Linked DNA regions of Macaca fascicularis. The protein of the gene in region 2 interacts with the protein of the main gene of each other region in a pairwise test. Links are inferred from orthologs where the notes say so. Each region holds a gene or a part of one and is shown on either strand. Other genes may lie near its edges.

Region 1 (9,844 bases), on a different chromosome or scaffold from region 2:
GACGGGTTTTATTGTGGTCTCAATCTCCTGACCTTGTGATCCACCCGCCTAGGCCTCCCAAAGTGCTGAGATTACAGGTGTGAGCCACCACGCACGGTCCTGAGTATCTCTTTTTCTGGACCTGGGCCCAAGGCCTAATAGATGAGTGCCCAGGACTCCATGCTGACTGGAGGAAGGAACAGCATGTGGTCAATGTGAGCAGAAGGGCCGGTAGTCCAGGAGGAAAAAGCAGTCACTTCTTTTTAAAAAAATTTATTACTTTTTTTTTTTATTTTGAGATGGAGTCTCACTCTGTCAGCCAGGCTGAAGTGCAATGGCATGATCTTGGTTCACTGCAACCTCCACCTCCTGGGTTTGAGCGATTCTCCCACCTCAGCCTCCCAAGTAGCTGGGACTATAGGTGCGTGCCACCACACCCGGCTAATTTTTGTATTTTTAGTAGAGACAGGGTTTCACTATGTTGGCCAGGCTGGTCTTGAACTCCTGACCTTGTGATCTGCCTGCCTTGGCTTCCCAAAGTGCTGAGATTACAGGCATGAGCCACTGCGCCTGGCCTATTTATTTTTGTAGATATGGTGGTCTTGCTCTGTTGCCCAGGCCAGTCTCGAATTCCTGGCCTCAAGTAATCCTCCCGCCTCAGCCTCCTAAATTGCTGGGATTATAGGTGTGAGACTGTGCCCAGCCAAAAGAGTCCACTTCTTTTTTTCTTTTCTTTTCTTTCTTTCTTATTTATTTATTTATTTATTTATTTTTTTGAGACATGGTCTTACTCTTTCACTCAGGCTTGAGTGCAGTGGCACAATCATGGCCCACTGCGGCGTCAATGGCGTCAATCTCACAGGCTCAAGTGATCCTCTCACCCCAGCCTCCCAAATAGCTAGAATTACTTGGCCATCACACCTGGCTAATTTTTTTCATTTTTATTTTTTGTAGAGCTGGGGTCTCCCTGTGTTGCCCAGGCTGGTCTCAAACTCTTGGGCTCAAGCAATCCTCCTGCCCTGGCCTTCCCAAGTGCTAGGGTTACAGGCATGAGTCACCATGAGGTTACTTCTGATGGGAGGCTTGGGGAGATGGCACAGAAAGGATAGGTGTGTATGAACAGGGTTTGGCTGAGTGGAGGGGATTGGGTATGACTAGAAGTCACGCCTACTAGAGGGAGGAATGAAGGTTTTAGAACGAGAGAGGGGCCCCAAAGGCCAGGCCGCCCTTCCACTGGGACTGGGTACATTTCCTGAGTGCTTGTTTAGCAAAAGCACTTTGCAGCTCAGCGGCTTGGCTCCCCACTTGCAAAGTGCAAGAGAGTCATCTTGCAGGCAGCGGTGAGGATGTAAGAAGATGCCATGGTAAAGGCTAGTCCTTGACATTGAGCCTCTGATGATCCCACTCTCTATTCTCAGCTTAGCACATCGGGTCAAAGGTATGAATTGTGCTTCCTCATCTGGCTTGGAATTTCTCAGAGTAAGGGTCCCTTTCCTCTGTAATTCTCCACAGAGGAAAGCAGTTCTCAATAAAGCTATGTTTTTCCTTTGTCCTGGGCTCAGTAAGGGCAGGCCCGGTGCTCACAGTAGACCCCAGAGTCAGTCCCAGGCTTCCAAGTCCACCATGACCCTAGGGAGCTGATGGGGTCCCTCATACATACGCTGAATGTGTATTGAACTTCCAGTGTACTGGCCTTGGGGGAGGTAAAAGGCAGGCAGAATGGCTGCTCACATGAGGCTTGTCATCTAGTTTCTCCCTCCTTTCCTGTGTCAAGCCTGGGGTCCCAAGATGAGTGTGAGGCCAGCCTTATTCCAGGATATATTATTTCCAGTTCCCTTTCCTTCTCTCCTTTCAGGGGAAACCCACTGTTCTTTTTTTTTTTTTTTTTTTTTTTGAGACGGAGTCTCGCTGTGTCTCCCAGGCTGGAGTGCAGTGGCGTGATCTCGGCTCACTGCAAGCTCCGCCTCCCGGGTTCATGCCATTCTCCCGCCTCAGCCTCCCGAGTAGCTGAGACTACAGGCACCCGCCACCACGCCCGGCTAGTTTTTTGTATTTTTAGTAGAGACGGGGTTTCACCGTGTTAGCCAGGATAGTCTCGATCTCCTGACCTCGTGATCCACCCGCCTCGGCCTCCCAAAGTGCTGGGATTACAGGCTTGAGCCACCGCGCCCGGCCGAAACCCACTGTTCTTAGAAATGGAGAAAAATGTCCAAGCCCAGTGACTCACACCTATAATCCCAGCACTTTGGGAGGCCAAGGTGGGTGGATTGCTTGAGGTCAGCAGTTTGAGACCAGCCTGGCCAAAAATGCTAAAACCCTGTCTCTACCGAAAATACAAAAATTAGCTGGGCATGGTGGCAGGTGCCTGTAATCTATGCTACTCAAGAGGCTGAGGCAGGAGAATCACTTGAACCTGGGATTCAGAGGTTGCAGTGAGCTGAGATCATGCCATTGCACTCCACTCTGGGTGACAGAGTGAAACTGTGTCTCAAAAAAAAAAAAAAAAAAAAAAAAAAGAGAACTCCTTAAGAAGGTCTGAGTATATTCTGAAGCTATGTTCTTCTCTCTTCTTTGCTCCCTGAGGTCCAAACCAGTGTCACCTCTTTGCCTGAACGATTGCAACAGGTTTCCAAGTGGCCCCTGCTCCCCTTCTTATCCTCTTACCCACCTCCATTCCCCATTCCAATCAGAGTACTTTTTTTTTTTTTTTTTAAGACGGAATCTCTGTCGCCCAGGCTGGAGTGCAGTGGCGTGGTCTCGGCTCACTGCAACCTCTGCCTCCCAGGTTCAAGCAATTCTCCTGCCTCAGCCTCCTGAGTAGCTGAGATTACAGACGCCCGCCACCACGCCCGGCTAATTTTTTGTATTTTTAGTAGAGCCACGGTTTCACCACTTTGGCCAGGCTGGTCTGGAACTGCTGACCTCGTGATCTACCCGCCTCGGTCTCCCAAAGTGCTGGGATTACAGGCGTGAGCCACCGCGCCCGGCCAACTATTTTATGCAATCAATATTTATTATTTGCCTACTACGTGCCAGGCACTGGTTGTAACTGTCATCTGATTGGACGATCCGTAAACGCTGCGGCTCAGCCTGTGCGGTTCACTTGTGTTCCTCCACGCGCCTCCGAGCACGCTGGGAAGCATACAGTAGGTGCTCTGCTCCGCTCCTGTGCCCCGCCCCGCGGCCCCTCCCCCGCTCCAGGAAGTGCGGGGGCTCCAGCCGCCCGGCCGGCCGCGATGCATTCTGGGGAAGGAGCAGCACCAAATCCAAGATGGCGGCCAGCAGGAGGCTGATGAAGGTAAAAGCCATTCTCTGGCCTCGGTCGGGCGTGGGGCGGCGTCCCAGGCTCCGGACCCCCGAGGCAGGCAGCGGCCTCTCAGGGCGCTGCCGTCTGGCCTCCTGCCCTACACGGCCTCGTCGGTTCCCTGGGCCGCGCGCAGGCTCAAGGAGCTAACGGGGCTGGCCTAGGCCGCAGCCTGGGCGGGAGCGCCAGGCCGCGCTGGGAGCCACTGTTGGCCCCTCAGCCCGGCCCGGGGCGTTCACGCCACCCTCCGCCCGGAGCGTGGCCGCGTCCCCCTGTCGCGGAGGCCGCGGTCCGACGCGAGGGCGTCGTTAATGTGAGAGCCCGGTTGGGAGGCTCCAAACTGAGCGCCTTCGGGGAAGGCCCGAGCGCCGGAGCCCCTGCCCGGAGCCCGTGCAGCGGAACCGCCCCGCCCTGGGCCTCAGCGAGCCGGGCTTGCAGCTCCGCTTGGCCCAGCCGCAGCTCGGAACTCTGGAAGGCTCGGGCTAGGAGAGCGGGGAGGAGGCCAGGCGGCCAAAGTTAGGTCAGTTTGTTGGTGGGTCGTTTGGAATTGCGCTGGGTCCTAGCAAACTGTCGCCTTGTGACTGCAGAGTCACACAGCGGGCAAGTTCCAACTCCAGGAAGGCCTGAGGTCGGCCCCCATCGCGGCGCGGTTCTCCTTCCCTCTCCTCCACTCAGTCATCTCGATCTCCCTTCCCTGATAAAGCAAAATGCCATTTTTTGGGGGGTAACGGTTGGTTTCAGTCGTTCGAATCAAAACGGGCCAAAGTTTATAATAATAACTTGGTACTTTGGATCTTGAATGCAGCAGGGTGCTTTCTTGCTACTTGGCACCTTTTAGTGAGGAACACATTAGCTAAATTGGCTTAGTTCTTTTGCCAGTGGATTTGCCAACGTCCTCCGGAGTCCCCTCCGCCAGCGTCTGTGAGTCGGCGGCTGGCTAGTGCAGCCGGCCTGCAACGGGCCGGAAATTAAAAAAAGGCCCCGGAGCCGGTTTCCTGAGGGGAGATAAAGAGCTGGGGTTCGTTCTGGGCAGAGCAGTGTTTGGTAGAACTAGACATTGAACTTGGAGCCACAGTCTCTGAGCCCTCCCTGCCTCCCTGGGAACGTTTCCTTTCTTTTGTTCCCTAAGGGCTAGAGAGGACATTAACTTTATAAAACTGGAGTGGAAGTGGGCACAAAAGAAAACTCAGAGGACTTCTGACTTCTCATCTCTTAAGCTAGTGACACCACCATTCACCAGATAAGGGGTCGGTTAATGGCTTTCTTTCCTACCCTACTCCCAGGTGCAGTCGTCCTTCAACCCTTGTGGATTTAAATTTAGAAAGTTTTCTGGAGTGCAGGCCGGGCGCGGTGGCTCACGCCTGTAATCCCAGCACTCTGGGAGGCCGAGGCGGGCGGATCACTTGAGGTCAGGAGTTCAAGACCAGCCCGGCCAACATGGTGAACTCCTGTCTCTACTAAAAATATAAAAATTAGCTGGGCGTGGTCGCATTCGCCTGTAATCTCAGCTACCCGGGAGGCTGAAGTGGGAGAATCGTTTGAACCTGGCAGGTGGAGGTTGCAGTGAGCCAAGTTTGCGCCACTGCACTCCAGCCAGGGCGACAGAGTGAGACTCCATCTCAAAAACAAACAAAAAAAAAGATTTCTGAAGTGCATGACTTGCTTTCTAATGTTACTGAAATTACTCTGAATCTGTATCCTCATCTCTTGGGTGCCCTCCGGAGTGCTCTCCTCCCCAGACTACCCCTCACGGACACCAGAGTTCTTTTAAGGCAGATAACTCAATTCTTTTCACTCCTGTTAAAAATGTCTATGGTCTTATTGTCCTCAGCAGTTAATCCTAACCTCTTACTTGGCATGCAAGACCTTTCTGAGACTGACGGAAAGCAATCAGTTGAGCCTCACCTCCTGCCCTTTGGTTTCCCACCATTCTTGCACCTAATCGCAGTAGCTACTATTTTTCCAGCTTTTACTTCGTGCTTTATATGCATGATCATGTTTAATCCTTCCTGTGAAGTAGACATTGTGATTTCCATTTTGTCGATGAGAAAAGATTATTTGGCTTGCCCTGGGTTACCTAGCTAGGGAGAGTGAGCTGTGATCGAACTGGGTTCTTTCTCCAAAGCAAAGTCTCCTGCTCTTACTTGCCCTCTGGTGTCTCTTTGCACGTGTCGTTTGCTCTGCCCCAAAAAAGTTGCCTTCTCCTCACTTCTGCCTTCCAGAGAAGTCCCAGGTTCAACTCCAATGCCAACTGCTCTGTGAGCCCCTGCTTCACATCCCCCTTCAGAATGAGTTGTTTCCTCCTCTGTGTGACCACAGCACTTTATGTTTCTCTTTGAGCACTTGTCACAATCTCTTTGTGTTACAGACTTGTCTTTCCTGTACTGGGTTCTGAGATCCCGAAGGGCAGGGATCTTGACCTAATTCATCCTGGAAGCCCCCTAGCCTATCCCAGTTGACCCAGTTTGGAATCCCCAGGCTCTCAGGGGTCTAAGAGGGGACTTATTACGGGTTTAAAATTATTACTCTGTTTCTAAAAAAATAGACCTTGGAAAAGAATTTGTAACATTAACTGAGTATTTATTAAATATTAGGTTATTTACATAAGTTATCTTTTCAACACTCCAAGTTAGTGTATTGTCGTTTTTATGTTTTTACAAATGAGGACATTGTGAGGTTAACTAGGTTAAGGGAGTTACCTAAGGTAGAATCGTAGAATGTGGTGGGGAGGGAGAAGACACTGACTCTTCCTGTCTTTAGGACCCAAATTCCATGCCTCTTGTCAGGCTGTCTTTCTTACTCAAAGGCTGCATGGAGCGGTGTGTTGTTTCTTAAGTTGAGGATGGAAAGGCTTTCAGTTCACTAGGGGAACGCCAGTTATGTAATGCTGATCATTGGCTGTGAGAGTCAATGTTTAAGACTGGGTAGTTGTTTTTTTTTTTTTTTAAAGAAGAAAAATTATTGATACAAGTTCATCAACAGTCTTTTCAGTACATGGGGTGGAAATAAAGTGATTTTCGTTGGTGAAAAATTGGGACTTAGTGCATAGAACAGTGCCTTAGGCATAGCAATCTAGCAAATGTTGAATGATCAAATTAATTACATCTTTTTTTTTTTTTTTGAGACGGGGTCTCGCTCAGTAGCCCAGGCTGGAGTGCAGTGGCCAGATCTCAGCTCACTGCAAGCTCCGCCTCCCGGGTTCACGCCATTCTCTGGCCTCAGCCTCCCGAGGAGCTGGGACTACAGGCGCCTGCCACCTCGCCCAGCTAGTTTTTTGTATTTCTTAGTAGAGACGGGGTTTCACCGTGTTAGACAGGATGGTCTCGATCTCCTGACCTCGTGATCCACCCGTCTCGGCCTCCCGAAGTGCTGGGATTATAGGCTTGAGCCACCGCGCCCGGCCAAATTAATTATATCTTAAAGAACTTTAGATTTCTGTTAAAAATGTTTTCTAGGACATTCCACAGCAAAGATTTCTTTGTAACAATGGACTGCAGATAGTGTAAAACACATTATTAAAAGTAGAGTGATTTGCATATACTACACTGAGAAGTTATCTTAGGCAAAGTGAGTATGATAAAGTCTTTTATTTCAAAAGCATTTGCCAAGAGGATTAACCTCTTTTAGAACCCTTTTTAGGAATTATAGTGTTAATAAAACATTAAGTACATTTTAATTTGCAAGCAGCTAATTTAGCATTGTTGGCCACAACCAGATTGTAACCATTGCTTCAATCAGGATGGGGAAATTGCTACAAAAGCCAAAAGTGAAACCTTTATGTGTGGCTTAGGCAACTGATTGGCATCTGATCATTTCTTTGCAGCTTCACACTGCACACACTTCCCCCAAGGGCCCATTGAGTAGCTTCCCAGAAGGGCTTTTCTCAGAAGGGAAATCTGTGGATTTAGAGGGGTGTGTGTGTAACATCTTATTACTTATCATGATGTAACTGTTGAGTTAAGGAGTTTCGCTCTTGTTACCCAGGCTGGAGTGCAATGGCATGATCTCTGTGCACTACAACCTCTGCCTCTCAGGTTCAAGTGATTCTCCTGCCTCAGCCTCCCAAGTAGCTGGGACTATAGGTGTGCACCACCATTCCCTGCTAATTTTGTATTAGAGAGGGGGTTTCACCATGTTGGCCAGACTGGTCTTGAACTCCTAACCTCAGGTGATCTGCCTGCCAAGGCCTCCCGAAGTGCTGGGATTATAGGTGTGAGCCACTGTGCCCGGCCTAATGCTATTTAAAAATGTTCACTCAGAACTTCATATTGTTATTCTTTCTCTCAGTCCATAGTCATAGTAGGAGGAGCCTATAAAAGTTCATTCCTTGGGTTTCGTTGTATTAAGCAGTGAGGTAGTTTGCTTTTGAGTATAGGTTTAGATTCTGAGGTTGGGTAATTAAGAAGATAGAGCAATGAGTGTGTCTAGTAGTTGTGTCACATGTGTCAGGAGTTGAGGGGAGTTTTATATGTGATGTTATGCCAGTGTAAATGTCCTGAATCCACTGAGGCTTTGTGAATTGAGAAAAACGTTGCATCTTTTAGTCTAAATTCATGCATTCCAGTAAGTTGGGACTGTTTCAGCCTCCCTTAATGATATTCTTTGTAAATGTTTGGGACAGGTGATGGGAAGGAGTATACTCAATTATTGCAACATTTGGGGCCTTTTAAGGTATTTACTAGAAAACTCTGAGACAGGCCAGGCGCGGTGGCTCACGACTGTAATCCCAGCACTTTGGGAGGCCCAGGCGGGCGGATCGTGAGGTCAGGCGTTCCAGACCAGCCTGGCCAACATAGTGAAACCCCGTCTCTACTAAAAATACAAAAAATTAGCTGGGCGTGGTGGCGGGTGGCTGTAATCCCAGCTACTGTGGAGGCTGAGGCAGGAGAATTGCTTGAACCCAGGAGGTGGAAGTTGCAGTGAGCCAAGATTGTGCCATTGCACTCCAGTGCGAGACTCTGTCTCAAAAAGAAAAAAACAAAAAACAAAACAAAAAAACACCCTGAGACAAAAACTCTTGTCTCAGGGTACTGGGGCCTTTTCTGATCCTGTTAAAACTCTAAATTAGGAGACTGTTGCTTTAAAATTTTATTATAAGAGAACACTTGAAAGTATTCTCATTTTATTGGAACATTTATTACGTTTAAGATATTTCTATATTCTTTGCTACAGCAGTAAATGTGAGAGCCCCACTTCTTTGCAGCTTCACACTGCACACACTTCACACTGCACACACTTCACACTGCACACACTGTGCCCATTAGAGAGCCACGGAGACGTTCCTCCTGAGTCCGGACTCCAGCCACTTCCAGAGTTTTCCTGGGAACGGCGCATAGATCTGTAGGCATCTTAAGTCTTAGCTCCTCCTGTGACTCTCTCCCTCTGGCCCCATGTGTCTCCTCCTGTCCCACCTTACTTAGTTAATAAGGAAAAAACGCCAGCTGACCCCTTCTACGCTCTTCCTCCCTTGTCTGGTCACCTGGCAGATTCTGCTGAACTATGCCTTCAGTCTCTGTTCTCTGCCTGTCTTCTCTCCATCCCCACTCCTACTCCCACTGCCACTGCCTCAGTTCAGGCCATCCCTGTTTATGGTAGACACCTGCATCGAGTTCCTTAATGGTTCGTCTGAACTCCTTACTGGTCAGCACACCCTCTGTCCCACACTATTCCTAACCAGCAGTGCATCAGAGTAGTGTGTGGTGTGTTGTGCAGTAGAATACACATGACCAGGCCCCGCTGACAGAGATTGGAGCAGAATTTAGTAGGGTGAGGATGAGGCTGGGACTCTGGATTACAAGTGCACATTCCTTGTTCCTTCAAGGTCTTGTCTTACCAGTCTTGTCTCTCCCCACTTACCCGTTGAGTCCCCTAAACACAGCATGCTTTGCACACTCTGGATCTCGTGATTGGCATCCCTGTCTCTTCTCTGTACCGGGTTAACTTCTTGACCTTTGAGACTCAGCTCAAGGGGCAATTCCTCTGCCCTTGTGGAGCTCAGCAAAGGAGAAAAATGGTGTGTACCTGGAACAAAGAAATCCTGGGCTGGTCACTGTGTGTTGGATGTCTGCCACCTTAATAATGGCTTGCAGGGGAGGGAAACACCCCCTCTGACACTGAGGAAGAGGTCGAACTTGGCCTGACCCTTTAAGCCCGAGTAGGGTTTCAGCAGTTGAAGAAGAGGGACCAGGTGACCAGTGAGGTTGAGTCTCTCTCATCCCTCAGGAGGGCTCTGGGCAGTGCCTATGGGAAATGCCATGAGGAGCCCCCAGACACCATCTGCCTACTTTCCAGTGCTGCTTGCCTCTGACCTTGTGCCATCCCGCTTTGGGTTTTAGTTAGGCCAGCCCCTGAGATGCTTTTCAGAAGTGTTGAGGCATTGGCTTGATTTTACCCTGGATTGGCATGTCCAGTGCACCTCCAGAGCTAGGAGCCCAGAGCTAGGAGCCCTCCCTCTGCAAGGCCAGCCTTGGAGGGTGAGCTCCCTCTCTATAGAGGGGTCACTGAGGGCAGTGCTGATGGATTTAAGGACAGGTGGCCGAGATGCCATAGCCTTTAGATTGA
Region 2 (9,882 bases):
GGTGGCTCATGCCTATAATCCCAGCAGTTTGGGAGTGCTCATGCCTGTAATCCCAGCTCTTTGCGAGGCTAAGGCAGTAGGATCACTTGAGCCTAGGAATTCAAGACTGGCCTGGGCAACATAGGGAGACCCTGTCTCTATAAAAAAATAAAATTTTAGCAGGGTGTGGTGGGGCATGCTTGTCGTTCCAGCTACTAAGGAGGTTGAGGTATGAGGATTGCTTGAGCCCAGGAATTTGAAGTTGCAGTCGGCTATGATCACATCACTGAGTAGTTTATTCTTAGATCATGTCTCTAAAAACAAACAAAATTACTGGAAATAAAAGAAACAATTCTTCAGGCAGAATATACAAAAAAAGCAAGATTATGTTTTTGGAGAGAAAGGTTATAAGAATGGCATGAGGCCGGGTGTGGTGGTACACGCCTGTAATCCCAGCAACTCGGGAGGCTGAGGCAGGAGAATCGCTTGAACGCAGTAGGCGGAAGTTGCAATTAGCCAAGGTCATGCCACTGCACTCCAGCCTAGGTGACACAGTGAGACTCCGTCTTAAAAAAAAAAAAAAAAAGCCGGGCGCGGTGGCTCAAGCCTGTAATCCCAGCACTTTGGGAGGCTGAGACGGGCGGATCACAAGGTCAGGAGATCGAGACCATCCTGGCTAACACGGTGAAACCCCGTCTCTACTAAAAAATACAAAAAACTAGCCGGGTGAGGTGGCGGGCGCCTGTGGTCCCAGCTACTCCGGAGGCTGAGGCAGGAGAATGGCCTAAACCCGGGAGGCGGAGCTTGCAGTGAGCTGAGATCCGGCCACTGCACTCCAGCCTGGGCGACAGAGCCAGACTCAGTCTCAAAAAAAAAAAAAAAAAAAAAGAATGGCATGGTGTGACTTTTTTGTTAATGGAAAATTAATTTTGTCCAGAAGTTATTTAAAGATTGTTTCAAATTGAAAGAATAAAAAAAGATATAGATAAAACTAAATGAATACAGAAAGTTGGAAATAGAAGAAAAATTCTAAGAGGTTATAAAAGATATGTAAATCTTACCTTGTGTGGTCAAAGCTGACTGAAATTAGATGGACTTGTTTATTAGGCTTTATTTAAATTAGCTTTATTATTGATATATTGATTCAAAAGTAAAATACGGTTTTCTCTTGAACAAGACTTTTGTGTATTAGAGATGGGGTCTCGCTATGTTGCCCAGGCTGGTCACAAACTGCTGGTCTCAAGTCATCCTCCTGCATCGGTCTTCCAAACTTCTGGGATTACAGGCATGAGCCACTGCACCCGGGCAAGTATACTTTTGTGAGCAAAATAATTTACCTTTTTCTCTTTGGATTGACAAACTGTTTTTTGCGTATTCTTATTTCATGGCAATATAGTTACATGCATAAGTTCAGTAACAATCTGAACAGGACATAATTGGAGACAGTGGTTATTTTCCCAAGGCTTTAACTGGAATGTCATACTTAGATACATGATCAAACTGCTTTGAGGGACTGAGATTGACATTAAAACACCAATAGACTTACAAAAAGATTGGCCTGGTACCCTGTGTATATAGTTCCCTTACAAAATTCCTGACCTTGCGGTATGTAAAGAATTGTCACTTTCTTGGCTGGGTGCAGTGGCTCACTCCTGTAATTCCAGCACTTTGGGAGGCCGAGGCAGGCAAATCACCTGAGCTCAGGGGTTCAAGACCAGCCTGGGCAAAATGGCGAAACCCTGCCCCTACAAAAAACACAAAAACTAGCTGGGCATGGTGGTGCGTGTCTTTAATCCCAGTTACTAGAGTGGCTGAGGCAGGAGAGTCACTTGAACCCGGGAGGCGGAGGTTGCAGTGAGCTGAGATCACGTCACTGCCCTCCAGCCTAGGCAATAGAGTGAGACTCCATCTCAAAATAAATAAATAAGTAAAAAATAGCCAGGCATGGTGGCAGGCACTTGTAGTCCCAGCTACGCGAGAGGCTGAGGCAGGAGGATTGCTGAGCCCAGGAGGTAGAGGCTGCAGTGAGCCATGATTGCACCACTACACTGTGACCTAGGTGACAGAGTGAGATCCCACCTCTAAAAATAAAGTAAAAAATAATAAAAGGAAATAAAGGAAATGTTAAAATGGGGGACTCAAGGAAACTGAAAGTATTTCACCCCAAAATGTACTTCTTTGATATATTCCCGCATACAGGAATAACCCTAAAAAGCTGCCTTTTGTGGCGGAGACTTGTATCTGTAGAGAAAATCTACACTGGTGAAATAAACAACCAGGCTTTCTTGGAGCCACCCCCTTATCCGTACCTAGGAAATTATTAACTGAAGGTCTGACACCTAGGAAGGTCTGACAGAGCAACTTAACACAGGCTCATGCCTATTCTTTCTAGGAGCTGCTATCTATGAAGTTTCATCTGCATAACTAGACCATCTTTGCCCCAGTCTCTTCTTTCTGTTGCCCTCCCATAACCATGTTCCAAGCCCCTATTCTGGTGTAACCTCAAGATGGTATAAAAGCATCAAGCATCTGGCCCTTTCAGTTTTCATAGTTTGATGACTCCCGTGCCCATATGCACATTAATACATTTGTAGGCCTTTCCTCCCCTGTTAATCTATTAGCAGTTTGTTTCATAGACTCAAGTGATCAAACCTTTAGGGGAAAAAAATCAAATTCAAATTTCCCTACAGTGGTCACACAGCTTGCTAGTGGCAGAGGGGAATTTCAAATCCAGCTTTCTATAAGGGCCAGTTACTACTGCATCACAATACAACTTATAAAGTGCTCTGTACATATTCAGTCAAGGTACTGCTGTTACTATTAAACTTGTTTGACTTGAAAATCAGCATAAACCACCTAGTTCAATATGTCTGAAACTGTAGCTTCAATATGGGATAATAAAATACAGAAGGTTCATTTGCATTTATTCATTTTCCAACTTAATTTCAATGGAAAAGAGTAATTCATTTAGAATGTACAAATGGCATTAACAACGCTCATAATCTCTACAGCAGAAAAGACTCTGGTTAACATTTATAAAGTGGAAGGGGCCCAAGTAAGTTTGCCAAAAGGAGGAATATGGAAATTCTGCCCACAGCTAGAACAATGGACATAGATTTGTCAAAACAAAGAACAGTAAAGAGAGGAAAGGCAATTTGTTCAGCCCTTGTAATGCTATTTTATGGTTATTTTTCCAGTTGCTAGTTTCCTATTCACTTTAACAAAGAAAAAGATTAAACAAAAAATTGAACATTTTGCAAACTTACATTATCCTTTAGTAGAAGGAAAAATATTGTAAATGGTAAGTTATACTATTCAAAGTCCAAAACAGGAAAACAATCTCCAGTCAGATAATTGAATTAGCAGCAAAGCGGTCTATTCCAAAAAGAATCTTCAAAATGCCCACTGTTTATGTTTTGCACAACTTCAAAGTTTTAAGGCTAATAATGATTCAATTTCAATGGAGGTATCTTTAGGCTGTTATTGCCCTAAAATAATCAATATATTTTATGACTCACACAGCCCATCTTGGCTTCCAGATTGGCCTGTGGATATTACGTTAATGAGCTACATCTGGACAGCTGAGCAACATTAGTAATCAGAAAGGAGGGTAAATTTAAGCCTCGAGTTTTAAGAACAAAGCTGAAACAACAGGCCTCGAAAATACAGCTACGAAATAATGCCCAAAGCACTCTTTATTTATACATTGTGCAGGCTGCACACTTTTTTCCCTGGCTCACAGGTTGGGCAGTGGTGAAAACTGCTTTTCAGATACAAGGCTATAGGTATTAAGGATCACCTAAGGATTCCAGGTGTGAGCCACCATGCCCGGCCTCAAAACTTCTGAATGCAAGTGCACAACATGTTTTTAAGGACTACCTAAATCCTTTCAAAAGTGATCCTCAGAAGCAATAATGCTATTTCTTTCTTCCTGCTAAGCCAAATGCATTTCTTTCTTCCTGCTAAGCCAAATACAAGTACATGCCACTGTGGTATCACACAGGGCTTCATCATACTATAGTCACCCTTCAAAGGACATTAAGTAGGCTTCCGCTTCTGATCCGTGCAGACACACACACACACACACATCCACGAACAAAATTCAAACCAAAGAGAGAAGGCTGGGTGCAGTGTCTCACACCTTTAATCCCAACACTTTGGGAGGCCGAGGTGGGTGGATCAATTGAGGTCAGGAGTTCAAGACCAGCCTGGCCAACATGGTGAAACCCCATCTCTACTCAAAATTCAAAAACTAGTAGGGTGTGGTCGTGGGCGCCTGTAATCCCAGCAACTCGGGAGGCTGAGGCAGGAGGATCACTTGAGGCGGGGAGACAGAGGTTGCAGTGGGTGGAGGTTGCAGTAAGCCGAGATCCTGCCACCGCCACCGCACTCCAGCCTGGGCGACAGAGTCAGACTATCTCTCTCTCTCTCTCTCTCTCTCATACACACACACACACACACACACACACACACAAAGTAAACAGCACGAATTCACAGATCCAACTTCACCAGTTACTCAAGCACACATTAAGCATGTGCCAATTTTATATAGGAACTTTGTTTTTAAACTCTTCTTAGAAACGACCACGGCTTTGCACCAACTGTGAGTTTTAGCTAAGTACTATGCCGTTTTGAGAAAGTTATTTTACTCTGTAATTTCTGCCGGTTTGGAGAGACGGCGTGTAAAGCAGGTAGTCTGTCACCTCCTGTCACGTTGTGGCTGGGTTTTGGAGGAGTACATTCAGGGGCTTGCGGCTAACGTCCAAGCCCCACCCTAGCAGGTTGTTAAACTCTAACGACTTGTGGAAAGTCACTCGGAAGCTCCAGTTTGACTTGCTCTTTGAGGGGATGGGTGTCTGTGTTGGGAAAGGGTAGCAGGGGTGGGGGTGGAAAAAACACTTTGCACAGATCCTTGTTTGCTTAAGACGAGCCTCTGTGGGCATTCTGGGAACACGTGCACAGCTCCAGCAAAACAAAACGGACCCGAGTTTCTGGGGCAGAGGGAAGCGCAGCCTGTTCCACCGTGTTCAGCGGGGTACCTGCGCTTTGAGGGAGCCCCTGCCTTGCAGTTGGAGCTCGTTTCTTTTTCGTGCCCGGGCGAGCGCTCGTTCTCCAGCCAAGAGCACCCTCCCCTGTTGGCGAGCCCTGGCTCTGGGCGGGACCCGTGCCTGGATCCCCTTCTCTGGAGCTCCGCACCTGGACTTCGGGAGGAGGCAGCGCAAGGGGGCTGCAGGGCCCGATTGTTTCTTTTTTCTCCTCCCGAAATCCTGTGTCACCTTCCGACCGGCGTTTTCCCCGTGGCCCCGCACCCGACGGGTCCAGGTTTCTCTCTGCAGCAGTTTCCTAAGGCGCTGTCTTCCGTCCCCCTCCTTCCCCACACCATGCCCTCAGCTTCCCGACATCGCCCTCCTTAGGGGTGGGCCCAAACCGAGCTCCCCTGGCACTTACACGTGGCCACAGCGGGTCCGGACAGGCTGGTGTAACACCTCAAGGCACACGGCGCAATCGAAGGACGTGACGGGCAACTCCGGGTCCCCCCTGCGCTCCAGGGCCCGCGGGGTGGCAGAGGGGGGAGCCGATTTGCCGCTGTCGCTGCTCAGCACGGAGCCCATCGCTGTGCCTCTCGCCCAGACAGCTGCCAAGCACTCAGTGCCTGCTGCAGGGTTGTTTTGTTGTCGTGCGGTGGAGGAAGGAAGTCCCGGCCCAGCTGCGATCGCCGCCTCCCAGCGCGCGCAGCTCGCGCAGCCAAGAAGCAACCTCCGCCGATGCGCCCAACCCTGGTCTAGGGCAGGGCGAGTGCGCGGCCGCGGGGCTGAAATCTTCGGCAAACCGCCTAGGTTAAGGCGCGGAGGCGGAGGCGGCAGCCGCCAGGTGCTTTGTCTTGTGGTATTGGGAGGATTGAAACCTGAAACCTCAACTGCAGAGAAGAGGACTTGAGGCAGTAGTAAACCTTCCAAGCTGTCACACACAGCCTCTTTCCCCACTGTCAGAAGTTAAGTGCGGGCGTGGCCATGCTTAATGGTAATCAGAGAACAGCCGCTTGTAAGGACCATCCTCCACTGTTGTAATCACAATAAGCTGCATTGAACTATGACCTATGATTGGACGTCTCCTAAGACGGTGCTATCATTACTCTGTCGTCCAATCAATAGTCCATTAATGGAGAGAGAGCCTGGGTAGTGGAAAGAGTTCTGGAGATTCAGATTCCAATCCTACCTCTCTTACAGATATTCTAGTGCTAAACCCTGCCGTCTCCAGTTTCCTCTGCGGCTCAGGATTTCCTCTGTTGTTTGTACTCTCCCCATCCCGCCCTTTAAATGTGATCAGCCGGGCGCGGTGGCTCACGCCTGTAATTCCAACACTTTGGGTAGGCCGAGGCAGGTGGATCGCTTGAGGTCAGGAGTTCGAGACCAGCCTGGCCAACATGATGAAACCCCGTCTCTGCTAACAATGCAAAAATTAGCCGGGCGTTAATTCACACTTTTTTCGAAGACTTATTTCGTGCCCACTGCACGCCAGACTCAGTTCTGGTGATGGAGACACAACTGTCAACAAGCAAACAAAATCCCAGTTCTCACAGAACTTACTTTAAAAAACAAAAACAAGGCTGGGCGCGGTGGCTCACGCCTGTAATCCCAGCACTTTGGGAGGCCGAGGCGGGCGGATCACAAGGTCAGGAGATCGAGACCACGGTGAAACCCCGTCTCTACTAAAAATACAAAAAATTAGCCGGGCGCGGTTGTGGGCGCCTGTAGTCCCAGCTCCTCGGGAGGCTGAGGCAGGAGAATGGCGTGAACCCGGGAGGCGGAGCTTGCAGTGAGCCGAGATCGCGCCACTGCACTCCAGCCTGGGCGACAGAGCGAGACTCCGTCTCAAAAAAAAACAAAAAACAAAAAACAAAACAAAACAAAAAAACAAAAAAACAAAAACAAAACTTTACTTTGAGGTAATTATAGATTTGCATACAGTTGTAAGAATAGTACATAGTATATAATACACATATACAATAATATATAATGTAACACATGGGATATAATAACGCATATAATACATGTATGTATTTAACAGGCCGTAAACTTCATCCAGTTTACCCCAGGCTTTACTTTTAATTAGGAGATATAGGCCGGGTACCGTGGCTCACGCCTGTAATTTCAGCACTTTGGGAGGCTGAGGTGGGAGGATCACTTGAGCACAGGAGCCAAGATCACGCTACTGCACTCCATCCTGTGCGACGGAGCGAGACCCTGTCTCAAAAAACAAACCAAGCCGGGGCAGTGGCTCACGCCTGTAATCCCAGCACTTTGGGAGGCCAAGGAGGACAGATCACCTGAGGTCAGGAGTTCGAGACCAGCCTGGCCAACATGGTGAAACCCTGTCTCTACTAAAAATACAAAGCTGGGTGTGAGCTACTTGGAAGGCTGAGGCACAAGAATTGCTTGAACCCGAAAGGTGGAGGCTGCAGTGAGCCGAGATCATGCCACTGTACTCCAGCCTGGGCAACAGACGGAGACCCTGTCTCAAAAAACCAAAAGAGGCTGGGCGCAGTGGCTCACGCCAAAGTGCTGTAATCCCAGCACTTTGGGAGGCGGAGGCAGGTGGATCACGAAGTCAGGAGTTCAAGACCAGCCTGGCTAACATAGTGAAACCCCGTCTCTACTAAAAATACAACATTTCTTTAGTAAAAATTTTTGTACTAAAAATACAAAAATTGGCCAGGTGTGGTGGCACATGCCTGTAGTCCCAGCTATTCGGGAGGCTGAGGCAGGAGAACCGCCTGAACCCAGGAGGTGGAGGTTGCAGTGAGCCGAGACCACGCCACTACACTCCAGCCTGGGTGACAGAGGGAGACTCTGTCTCAAAAACAAACAAACAACAAACAAACAAAAGGAAGATATGTATAATCAATCAATAAACAAATAAAATCATTTCAGATAATCAGAGCCATGAAGAAGATAAGACAGTAACTGACAATGAGGAGAAGAAGAAACTCAGAATAATTTTTGGATGAAGTGACATTTGAGCAGAGCCATGAATAATGAAAAGAAGTGAGCCGTTCAGAGATTTAGGAAAAAGTGTGGTAAGCGCTGGGAACAGTGAATGAGACAGGACCAAAGAAAGGAAAGACCTATGGAGCTGGAGCATTGGGTGGTGGGGGGCAGGCAGTGGGGGGAAATAAGATGAAAAGATAGTTATTCCTATCTTCAAAAGGAAAACAAAAACCTCCCTTTCATCCCACTTATGCCTCAACTCCTGCCCCATATCCCCTTCAAGGCCAAATCTCTTGATCTGATCCTCTACATTATGTCATCATTTCTTATTTATTCACTTCTTATTCAGTCCATTCTGAGTTCTGAGCCAACCTCTGCACCTCCATCTGTCCAAAAACTGCTTTATTATCAGTGTCACTGGTGACGTTCATGTAACTCATTCCAATAGATTCTTTTCAACTATTTTTGTGCTTGACCCCTCGACTATTTTTGTCAGTGCTGACCATCCCCTCCTGGAAGCACTCTGACTTTCCTTCTTTCTTTCTGGCTGTTGTTTCTCTCCTTTGCCAGAGTCTCCTCCACTGGCTCTGGGCTAGAGATCCTAGGATTCTGTCTTAGCACCTTTTCCCTTCTCCTCTCTGTCTCCCTCTCTCTTTCTCTCTCTCTCAAAAATCACACAGGTTCTGTCACTATTTTGGTTCCAAAGACTTTCACATCTTTATCTCCACCCCAGGCCATTCAAATGCCCAATAGCCCAATAGCTTACATGACTGACCATTTGACATAGACACCCTCAGCCCAATGTCTCCAATAATGAACTCATTATAGCAGCCACCACCTCACCTTCTCCAGTGGTTGATCTCTCTGTTAGCAAATGGCACTATGATCCATTTTATAGCTCAGTCTAGACACCTGGAAGTCATCCTTGATTTCCTCCTCTTATTCACATTGAATCAATCATAATCACAATCCTGCCTCCAATATGTATCTCAATAGTTATTTTTTTTTCTGAGATGAAGTCTGTCTCTGTCACCCAGGCTGGAGGAGTGCAATGGCAGGATCTCAGCTCACTGCAACCTTTGCCTCCTGGGTTCAAGTGATTCTCCTGCCTCAGCCTCCTGAGTAGCTGGGATTGCAGGCACATGCCACCACGCCCACCTAATTTTTTTGTATTTTTAGTGGAGACAGAGTTTCACCATGTTGGCCAGGCTAGTCTTGAACTCCTGACCTCAAGATCCGGCTGCCTTGGCCTCCCAAAGTGCTGGGATTACAGGTGTGAGCCACCATGCTCATTTTCTTCTATTTCCATAGCCACCGCTTATTTTAAATCACTGCATTCTCTTGCGCGACTTATGGCAATAGTTCCTAGCTGCCCTACCTGCATCCATCATTGCCTCTCTCCAGTTTATTATCCACATGGCCACTAAAGTGATCTTTCAAAAAGCAAACATCTTGTGTCACCCCATGCACAAAATCCTTTAATAGGTCTCCTAATCCTTAGGATTAAATTCCAAATCCTTAATATTATCTAAAAAGTCCTGCAAGAGGCCGGGCGCAGTGGCTCATCTCACTGCTGCAGTCTCAACCTCATGGGCTCAAACAGTCCTCCCACCTCAGCCTCCTGAGTAGCTAGGAGCACAGTCATGTGTCATCACACTCAGCTAACTTTTGTATTTTTTGTAGAGACAGTGTCCCAATATGCTGCCCAAGCTGGTCATGAACTCCTGGGCTCAAGCAATCCTCCTGCCTCGGTCTCTCAAAGTACTGGGATTATAGGCATGAGCCACCATGCCTGGCCTTGGAAACCTTTCCACATCACATTCATCTCATACTATCCTCTTAGTCTTCCATAGCCTGCTATATTTGCCTTCCTATTTATCCTGATAGTGGCTACTCTGAGGGCTAGAGGACCTGG
Region 3 (9,988 bases), on a different chromosome or scaffold from region 2:
TACAGGCGCTCGCCACCTCGCCCGGCTAGTTTTTTTGTATTTTTAGTAGAGACGGGGTTTCACCATGTTAGCCAGGATGGTCTCGATCTCCTGACCTTGTGATCCGCCCGTCTCGGCCTCCCAAAGTGCTGGGATTACAGGCTTGAGCCACCGCGCCCGGCAATTTTTTGTATTTTTAGTAGAGACCGGGTTTCTCCGTGGTGGTCAGGCTGGTCTGGAACTCCTGACCTCAGGTGATCCGCCCGCTTCTGCCTCCCAAAGTGCTGGGATTACAGGAGTAAGCCACCGCACCCGGCCAGAACTCTTTTAGTGGGAATGTAAATTGATTCAATCATCTGGAGAACAATGAAGCAAAATCCAGTCACGCAGAAGCTGAAAATATGCTCAGATCTTGCAATTCTACTTCCAAGAAAAACTCTTATATGTCCCCCCAAAAACTGTAAAAATGTACAGTACATCCTTTTATCTAAAAGTTGGAATTAAATGCCATCAATAGAAAAATTAACTTTAAAAACTGACATGGAATACAATATAAAGAACTAGCACAACATGCACTATCACAGATCTTTAAAAAATAATGCTAAGAGAAAAAGTTTCCAAGAGATGCACATTACAATCATCTATAAAAACTTTTTTTAAAAAAAACTTCTAAAAAAAGCAAAAAGTATTTCATTTTTAAATTCAGGAGATACTATCTTTAACAGTAAAAACAAAATATGAAGGGGGAGAATATACACTAGCTTCACATAGCAGATACTCCTAGAAAGAAAAAATGGAATAAGAAAAAAGTTATCCAATGAGCTCTACCTCTATATTTTACTGTATTTGGGTAGAGGCAATTTAGCCCACAGTATGAGAAGATTACAATCTGTTAAATATGGACCACAGATATAAAGATGTTCATGTATTACTTTTAAAACTTCTAAATATAAAGTATTTCATAGTTTCAAAAAAATCTTCAAAAATGTAGGGAGCAAGCAGCAGATATGAGTGTAACTCTTTCCACCAAAACCACCAATATTTTGGAGGCAGACACCTGGTTTCAAACCTCTGTCCCACCAGCAAGTCATTGATACTGAGGAAGCTACTTAATTTCTTCCCAGCTGCAACTGTTGGATCTGTGAAACAAGAATACTATCAATCTCATACAGCTGCCATATATAAAAAATGTGAGACAGGCAGGGTGCAGTAGCTCATGCCTGTAATCCCAGGACTTTGGGAGGCTGAGGCAGGAGGACTGCTTGAGTCCAGGAGTCTGACACTGGCTTGGGCAATATAGTGAGACCCTCAACTCCACAAAATATTTAAAAAAAGAAAATTTAGCCAAGTGTGGTGGCTACTAGGAAGGCTGAGGCAGGAGGATCACTTGAGTCTAGGAGTTCAAGGTTACAGCGAGCTGTAAGGTCTTGCTTTGCTGCCACTGCACTCCAACTTGGGCAACAGAGCAAGACCTTGTGTCTTAAAATCAATCAATCAATCAGACAGTAGGCATTCAACTGTAGGCAGTTATTCTAAATTTGGAGTAAAAGCAAAGAACTAAAGGGAAGAGAAAGGAAAAAAGGGTTTTTCAGTGGTGTTAACAATTAATTGATCATAACCAGTTACAGACTTTTTTCCTTTTCCATTTCCACTGCTTCGTTGGACTAGCCTTAAAAAAATAAAAAATTTTTTAAAAAGCATTTTCAGTGAAATAAAGTTCTCCCACCTTTTCAGATTTACATAAGAGAATAACATGGATGTCAGATGAATGAGACCACTTATTTTCTGGTTCCCAAAGCCCACTGAAGAAGAGATTTGCAAAGGGATCCAAGATTATATACCATAGGATTAGAATCTAGATTCTTTGCTCTAGTTTCAGGAAACCAGAGCCATGTCAAGAAATCCAAAATAATCCCATTATCTCTATATCATTTGAGAGTTTCCCAAATAAACTTTTTCATTCAGGAAGGTAACATTTTAACACAAACTTTTCTCCAATTTATAACTGTCTCCTAAAGAAAGATTAAATAAATCACATCTGGAGAACAGAGCCCACATATATTCCTCTGTATTAATATATCCCCTCTTATCCACAGGGGACACACTCCAAGATCCCTATTGGATGCTTGAAACCACGGATAGTACTGACCCTATACGTTTTTTCCTATATGTACATACCTATGATAAGGTTTAATTTATAAATTAAACACAGTAAGAGATTAACAATAATAGAATAGAGTAATTATAACAATATACTGTAATAAAAATTATGTGAATGTGCTCTCTCAAATACCTTATTGTACTATACTCACTTATTTTTGGACGATGGTTGACAGTGGGTAACTGAAACTGCAGAGAATGAAACTGCAGATAAGGGTGGACTACTTGGCTACCAGCCCCATGGATTATTTGCACACAGGTGACAAAGAAACACTATTAGAAGTACCATAGCCCTCATATTGAGCTTTTCTTGAGGCATATTTACATCCAGTAATCACTAAACCATTGAACAATACCTTTATAATTCAAGAACAATAAGCACAACAGAATATGAAAACATAGCTACTTCTGACATCTAACAGCTATCTGTTTAATTATGTCCCAAGGTTATTCTAAGCACTGTAAAGACACTCTTAATCTTCCCACAGTTTTTACAGATAAAGATAATCGAGATACAGAGCCAGTACTTCAGGTTTTAAGAAGAAAAGCCAGGACTCAAAGCAAATCTAATTATAAAGCCCATGCTCTTAATTACTAAGCTAACTTCACTAAATTATGCTTCAGGAGTTAAAAATCTCTACCTCCTTGGCAAGTTTAAGTTCTCATACTAAGAGGGGGAAAAGAAAAGACACATTTAAATAATACTGCATTGTTATCTCCTTCTGTAAAGTTGTATTAGCAGTCAGCTTTTACACTATCGTTTATGAAAAGGATATTCCCACAAACCAACTACTTATTATGACTAAACTGGTATGCAAAAAGCCTGGGTTCAACCATTAACCAGCTGTTTCTCTGAGGAACAATCAACCTCCTTGGGCCTCAGTTTCCTGATTTTATAGATGAGGAGTTTGGCCTAGATCTATTTCAGCACTGAAATTCAATACATTTTAGTACATTTTCTAAGACACTATATTTTTCTTAACAGATTTTGAACAGCATCTTTTGAAAACTTTCCAACTTAAAATACGTAACATATACTCACATCTGTTCTTTTACTCAAACATACTCAAAACTAATCTGTTATTAGAAGTCAGGAAAGTAACTAGAAAGGAAGGAGGATTCCTATGGTACTGGGAAGGGTCTGTTTCTTGATTTGGATGCCAGTCACACTTTATTATGTACACGTTTTACTTTAATATGAAAAAGGGTGGTTTTCCTCCCCAAAAGGTAACTATGAAGAAAGTTAAGAACATGATCTAACTCTACAACTATGTTTGAGTATATAAGAGCTGTGCAACCTTTCTGTTCTACATATGTAAATGTGTTTCTTGAATAAGTGCATCAATAATCTCTTTGTTCCATAGTTCCAATTCATGTGCCTAGAGAAAAGTTTATTTACTTAAGAATTTCAGCCAGGCGTGGTGGCTCACACCTGCAATCCCAACACTTTGGGAGGCCAACGCTGGCAGATCATCTGAGTTCGGGAGTTCAAGAACAGCCTGATCGACCACCATGGAGAAACTCGGTCTCTACTAAAAATACAAAATTAGCTGAGCTTGGTGGTGCATGCCTGTAATCCCAGCTACTCAGGAGGCTGAGGCAGGAGAATCGCTTGAACCCAGGAGACAGAGGTTGCAATGAGCCGAGATTGCGCCATTGCACTCCAGCCTGGGCAACAAGAGCAAAACTCTGTCTCGGGGGGGAAAAAAAAAAGAATCGCAATATTACCACAATTCCTTTGGGACTGTCTCCTGAAATTTGAGGTCAGTCTTAACTTTCCTCAGCTCAAGAAGGCTGGGTGAGGTGGCTCATGCCTATAATCCCAGAACGTTGGGAAGCTGAGGCAGAAGGACTGTGTGAAGCCAGGAGTTCAAGACCAGCCTGGGCAACATAGTGAGACCCCATCTCTACAAAAAGTAAAAACTAGCTGGGTGTGGCAGCACGTACCTGTAGACCCAGCTACTTGGGAGGCTGAGGTGGAAGGCTTGCTAGAACCCAGGAGGTCAAGGCTGCAGTGAGCTATGACTGTGCTCCTGGGCGAATGAGGGAGACCCCGTCTCAACAACAACAACAACAACAAAAAGCACCTAGCTCAAGAACCCCCCTCATACAGTCATACAGCCCGGGCACGATGGCTCACGCCTGTAATCCCAGCACTTTCAGAAGCCAAGGCAGGCGGATCACCTGAGGTCAGGAGTTCGAGACCAGCCTGGCTAGAAACCCCATCTCTACTAAAAATAGGAAAATTAGCTGGGTGTGGTGGCACGTGCCTATAATCCCAGCTACTGGGTCAAGCAGTAGAACTACCTGACCTGGGAAGCAGAAGCTGCAGTGAGCCAAAATCACGCCACCGCACTCCAGCCTGGGTGAGAGTGAGTTTCCATCTCAAACAAAACAAAACAAAAAAACTCCAGGTCGGGTGGCTCATGCGTGTAAGCCCAGCACTTTGGGAGGCCAAGACAGCCAGATCACTTGAGGTCAGGAGTGTGAGACCAGCCTGGCCACATGGTGAAATCCAGTCTCTACTAAAAATACAAAAAATTAGCCAGGTGTGGTGGCGCATGCCTGTGATTCCAGCCATTCCGGAGGCTGAGGCCTGAGAATCACTTGAAGCCAGGAGGTGGAGGTTGCAGTGAGCCAAGATCAAGCCACTGTACTCCAGGCTGGGCGACAGAGACTCTGACTCAAAACAAAACAAAAACAAAAAAGAACCTCCCTCATTCAAATACCCTCAGAATCCCATAGCATTTACTCTTTGCCCCTCCCATTTTTATCTATCCTTTGTCTGTCCTGTATCTCCAACCAGTAAGCCTTTTGGGGCTGTGGTCAACATGTTCAGTAACTATCAATAATGTATTCACTGGGAAATAAGAGTACATAGTCTTGGCTGGGCATGGTGGCTCACACTTGTAATCTCATCACTTTGGAAGAGCGAGGCAGGTGGATCACTTGAGGTCAGGAGTTTGAGACCAGCCTGGCCGACATCATAAAACCCTGTCTCTACTAACAATATAAAAAATTAGTTGGGCATGGTGGGGTGCGCCTGTAGTCCCAGCTACTTGGGAGGCTGAGGCAGGAGAACCACTTAACCTGGGAGGCGGAGGCTGCAGAGAGCTTGGATCATGCAACTGGACTCCAGCCAGGGTGACAGAGCGAGATTCCATCTGAAAAAAAAAAAAAAAAAAAAAAAAAAAAGTCCAGGCATGCCAGGCATGGTGGCTCACCATGTAAGCCCAGCACTTTGGGAGGCCGAGGCAGGCAGATCATCTGAGGTCAGGAGTTTGAGACCAGCCTGGCCAATATAGTGAAACCCTGCCTCTATTAAAACTACAAAAATTAGCAGGGTGTAGTGCCCGGGCGCGGTGGCTCACACCTGTAATCTCAGCACTTTGGGAGGCCAAAGCAGGCTGATCACGAGGTCAGGAGACCGAGACCATCCTGGCCAACATGGTGAAACCCCATCTCTACTAAAAAAATACAACAAATTAGCCGGGCCTGGTGGCGGGTGCCTGTAGTCCCAGCTACTCGGGAGGCTGAGGCAGGAGAATGGCGTGAACCCGGAAGGCGGAGCCTGCAGTGAGCTGAGATTGCGCACCACTGCACTCCAGCCTGAGCAACAGAGCGAGACTCTGTCTCAAAAAAAAAAAAAAAAAAAAAAAAAAAATTAGCTGGGCAGGGTGGCGCATGCCTGTAATCCCGGGATTCCAGCCATTCCGGAGGCTGAGGCATTGGTTGAACCTGGGAGGCGAAGGTTGCAGTGAGCAAGATCAAGCCACTGCACTCCAGGCTGGGTGACAGAGCCGAGACTCCTTCTCAAAAACAAAACAACAACAAAAAGGAATCTCACTCATACAGATACCCTTAGAATCCCATAGCATTTACTCTTTGCCCCTACCATTTTTATCTATCCTTTGTCTGCCCTGTATCTCCAACCAGTTAAGCTTTTTGGGGCTACAGTCAGTATTTTCAAAAACTGTCAATAATGTATTCACTGGGAAATAAGAGTATATAGTCTTGGCTGGGCAGTGGTGGCTCATGCCTGTAATCCCAGCACTTTGGGAGGCCGAGGCAGTTGGATCACTTGAGGTCAGGGGTTCAAGACCAGCCTGGCCAACATGGTAAAACCCTGTCTCTACTAACAATACAAAACATTAACTGGGCGTGGTAGGGTGCACCTGTAATACCAGCTACTCAGGAGGCTGAGGCACGAGGGTCACTTGAACCCGGGAGGCAGAGACCATGGTGAGCTGAGATTGTGCCACCATACTCCAGCCTGGACGACAGAGCGAGACTCTGTCTCAAAAAAAAAAAAAAAAAAAAAAAAAAAAAAAAGCCCAGGTGCAGTGGCTCACGCCTGTAATCCCAACACTTTGGGAGGCCAAGGCGGCAAAATCACAAGGTCAGGAGTTCGAGACCAGCCTGGCTAATATAGTGAAACCCGTCTCTACTAAAAATACAAAAAATACCAAAAAAAAAAAACAAAAAACCCTCAGGCATGGTGGCACATGCCTGTAATCCCAGCTACTCAGGAGGCTGAGACAGGAGAACTGCTTGAACCCGGGAGGCAGAGGTTGCAGCGAGCCAAGATTGCGCCATTGTACTCCAGCATGGGCGACAGACGGAGACTCCGTCTCAAAAAAAAAAAAAAAAGTGGGCCGGGCGCGGTGGCTCAAGCCTGTAATCCCAGCACTTCGGGAGGCCGAGACGGGCGGATCACAAGGTCAGGAGATCGAGACCATCCTGGCTAACATGGTGAAACCCCGTCTCTACTAAAAATACAAAAAACTAGCCGGGCGAGGGGGCGGGCGCCTGTAGTCCCAGCTACTTGGGAGGCTGAGGCAGGAGAATGGCGTAAACCCGGGAGGCGGAGCTTGCAGTGGGCTGAGATCCGGCCACTGCACTCCAGCCTGGGCGACAGAGCGAGACTCTGTCTCAAAAAAAAAAAAAAAAAAGTGTATAGTTTTTAAGAAGGGATGACAGGCCAAGCATAGTGGCTCACGTCTGCAATTCCGGCATTTTAGGTGGCCAAGGCGGGAGGATCACTTGAGCCCAGGAGTTCGAGACCGGCCTGGGCAACATGGTGAAACCTTGACTCCACAAAAAATTACAAAAATTAGCTGGGCATGGTGGCAGATGCCTTTAGTCCCTGCTACTTGGAAGGCTGAGGTAGGAGGATCACCTAAGCCTGGGGAGTTAGAGGCTGCAGTGAGCTGTGATCACGCCACTGCATTCTAGCTTTGGTGACAGTGAGACTCTGTCTCAAAACAAATAAACAAACAAACAAACAAAACACACAAATAAAAAGGGAAGAAGCTAGGGGAGCCCAGATGTGTCTAAACCTACGCCCAATGGACAGAGCTCAAAGTCTTTGTAACAGTGTAAACAAGGAATTCACCCCAAACATATTACCTGCACAGACTTTGATTTTTTTAAAAATCCAATCTATAGACTTTCCCTGCTCAACCCATTTCAGAACCCATAAAAAATACTATTTAAATATTACATAAAACTGTAACTTGCGTAACTTTCAAAAACACTTTTGAAAAATAAAATGAAAATAAAAACTTTAAAAACCACTTTTCTACTCTTTATTTGGAGACAGTGTGTTGCTCCGTCACCCAGGCTGGAGTACAGTGGCACAATCACCGCTCACTGCAGCCTTGACCTCCCAGACTCAAACGATTCTCCTGCCTCAGTCTCCCAAAGTGCTGCCATTACAGATGTGAGCCACCAAGCCTGCCTCTAGTTTTAAACAACTGTTCAAATTCTCGTTACATTTATTTTTGGTAGAGAATTTTATCTTTTTATTAAAATCAAAAGGGAGAAATTTTAACAGAAAAACATCAAAAAGGGGGAACAAACTTAAAAGTTTTAAAAATAAAACATTCAAAGCCAGTATATATTTTTTGTGTCTTTACTGTCCGGGTCCATTTATTCTTTAGATAAATTATCTTACACATCTGATACAGTTAGTTAAGTCTCAAAGTATTCTCTTTTTTTTGGAGACAGAGCCTTGCTCTGTTGCGAGGTTGGAGTGCAGTGGTGCCATCTCAGCTCACTGCAACCTCCACCTCCCCGGTTCAAGCAATTCTCCTTCCTCAGCCTCCTGAGTAGCTGGGACTACAGGCCCATGCCACCATGCCCAGCTAATTTTTGTATTTTCAGTAGAGACGGGGTTTCATCATGTCGGCCAGGATGGTCTCGCTCTCCTGACCTCGTGATCCACCTGCCTCGGCCTCCCAAAGTGCTGGGATTATAGGCGTGAGCCACTGCGCCTGGCTGTGTTGTTCTTATATAATTAACAAATAGCCAGGAATTATTTTCTTTTTTCATTTTTGAGACAGAGTCTCGCTGCTGCCCAGGCTAGAGTGCGGTCACATGATCACAATTCACTGCAGCTTTGACCTCATGGGCTCAAGCATCCTCCAGCCTCAGCCTCCCAAGTAGCTGCCACTATGGGCACATACCACCAGGCCTGGCTGATTTTTTAAAAATGTTAGTAGTAACAAAAGTCTCACTATGTTGCCCAGGCTGGTCTTGAACTCCTGGCCTCAATCGAGCCTCAGCCTCCTAAAATGTTGGATTACAGGCATAAGCCACCCCACCTGGCCCATAAATACTCTATTAAGAGTTTTGTCAGAGCAGCCTGGCCAACATGGTGAAACCCTGTCTCTACTAAAAATAAAAAAATTAACAGGGCATGGTGGTGGGCGCCTGTAATCCAAGCTACTCGGGAGACTGAGGCAGGAGAATGGCTTGCACCCAGGAGGTGGAGGTTGCAGTGAGTTGAGATCCTGCCACTGCGCTCCAGCTTGGGTGACTGAGCAAGACTGTATCAAAAAAAAGTTTTGTCTACATAGTTCTCAACATATGGCAGTCTGGGGACATTTTTAGTTGATGCATCCAGCAAGAAGAGATAGTGGGGACATGGGCTGGGGGTTTGCGGTGCTACCTGCATATACTGGTAGAGGTCAGGGATGTTGCTAAACATCCCACAATGCACAGGAGAGCCACTCAACAAATAACTATCTGCCCAAAATATCAATAGTGACAAGGTTAAAAAACCCATGATCTACAGAAATCAAAAGGCTTACTTTTAGAGATTTACAACTACTTTTATTATAGAATAATCTAGATCAAGCTAGATCAAATACATTAAAATTTTAAAGGAAAATAGATATAAAAATCTATTTAAATGATGAAGGAAAACTTAATGTACTATAGTAATTTTCATGAAACCAATTTGTTTGTGCCACAGATTTAAACACACCCTATGAGACTAGAAAATGTTGGCCAGGCGCAGTGGCTCACTCCTGTAATCCCAGCACTCTGGGAAGTCGAGGCAGGCAGATCACCTGAGGTCAGGAGTTCAAGACCAGCCTGACCAACATGGAGAAACCTCGCTTCTACTAAAAATACAAAATTAGCCAGGCATGGGGGCACATGCCTGTAATTCCAGCTACTCAGGAGGCTAAGGTAGGAGAATTGCTTGAACCCGGGAGGCGGAGGTTGCAGTGAGCTGAGATCGCACCATTGCACTACAGCACTACAAAAGCAAAACTGTCTCCAAAAAAAAAAAAAAAAAAAAGGAAAGAAAAAGAAAAAAAAAAGAAAATGTTACCAAAGTGTAATTACAACATGAAAAACCAACAGGTGCCATACAGCATAAGAGCAACAAGAGTAAGTGAACTGATTTAAGGGTGTTTTATTTCATCAAGTTTCAGATTTTAAAATATTCTGTATGTTGAAATTCAAGTAAATCTGGCTGGGCATGGTGGCTCACGCCTGTAATCCTAGCACTTTGGGAGGCTAAGACAGGCGGATCACTTGAAGTTGGGAGTTCGAGACC

What was found.
Region 1: the proteins of RNF125 (region 2) and UBE2L3 interact in a two-hybrid assay, tested with the Homo sapiens proteins (2 studies listed by BioGRID and IntAct). The link is inferred for Macaca fascicularis from reciprocal best matches to the Homo sapiens genes RNF125 and UBE2L3.
Region 3: the proteins of RNF125 (region 2) and UBE2K interact in a two-hybrid assay, tested with the Homo sapiens proteins (2 studies listed by BioGRID and IntAct). The link is inferred for Macaca fascicularis from reciprocal best matches to the Homo sapiens genes RNF125 and UBE2K.

The regions. Positions count from the first base shown.
Region 1 is NC_088384.1:31,555,766-31,565,609, reverse strand, and holds the start of UBE2L3 (ubiquitin-conjugating enzyme E2 L3), read left to right. Parts: upstream 1-3,224; 5' UTR 3,225-3,250; coding exon 3,251-3,277; exon of another isoform or gene 3,278-3,803; intron 3,804-9,844. UniProt on the Homo sapiens protein: Ubiquitin-conjugating enzyme E2 that specifically acts with HECT-type and RBR family E3 ubiquitin-protein ligases.
Region 2 is NC_088392.1:57,849,331-57,859,212, forward strand, and holds the start of RNF125 (E3 ubiquitin-protein ligase RNF125), read right to left. Parts: upstream 5,631-9,882; 5' UTR 5,592-5,630; coding exon 5,428-5,591; intron 1-5,427. UniProt on the Homo sapiens protein: E3 ubiquitin-protein ligase that mediates ubiquitination and subsequent proteasomal degradation of target proteins, such as RIGI, MAVS/IPS1, IFIH1/MDA5, JAK1 and p53/TP53.
Region 3 is NC_088379.1:38,995,954-39,005,941, reverse strand, and holds the start of UBE2K (ubiquitin-conjugating enzyme E2 K), read right to left. Parts: upstream 5,319-9,988; 5' UTR 5,304-5,318; coding exon 5,230-5,303; intron 1-5,229. UniProt on the Homo sapiens protein: Accepts ubiquitin from the E1 complex and catalyzes its covalent attachment to other proteins. In vitro, in the presence or in the absence of BRCA1-BARD1 E3 ubiquitin-protein ligase complex, catalyzes the synthesis of 'Lys-48'-linked polyubiquitin chains.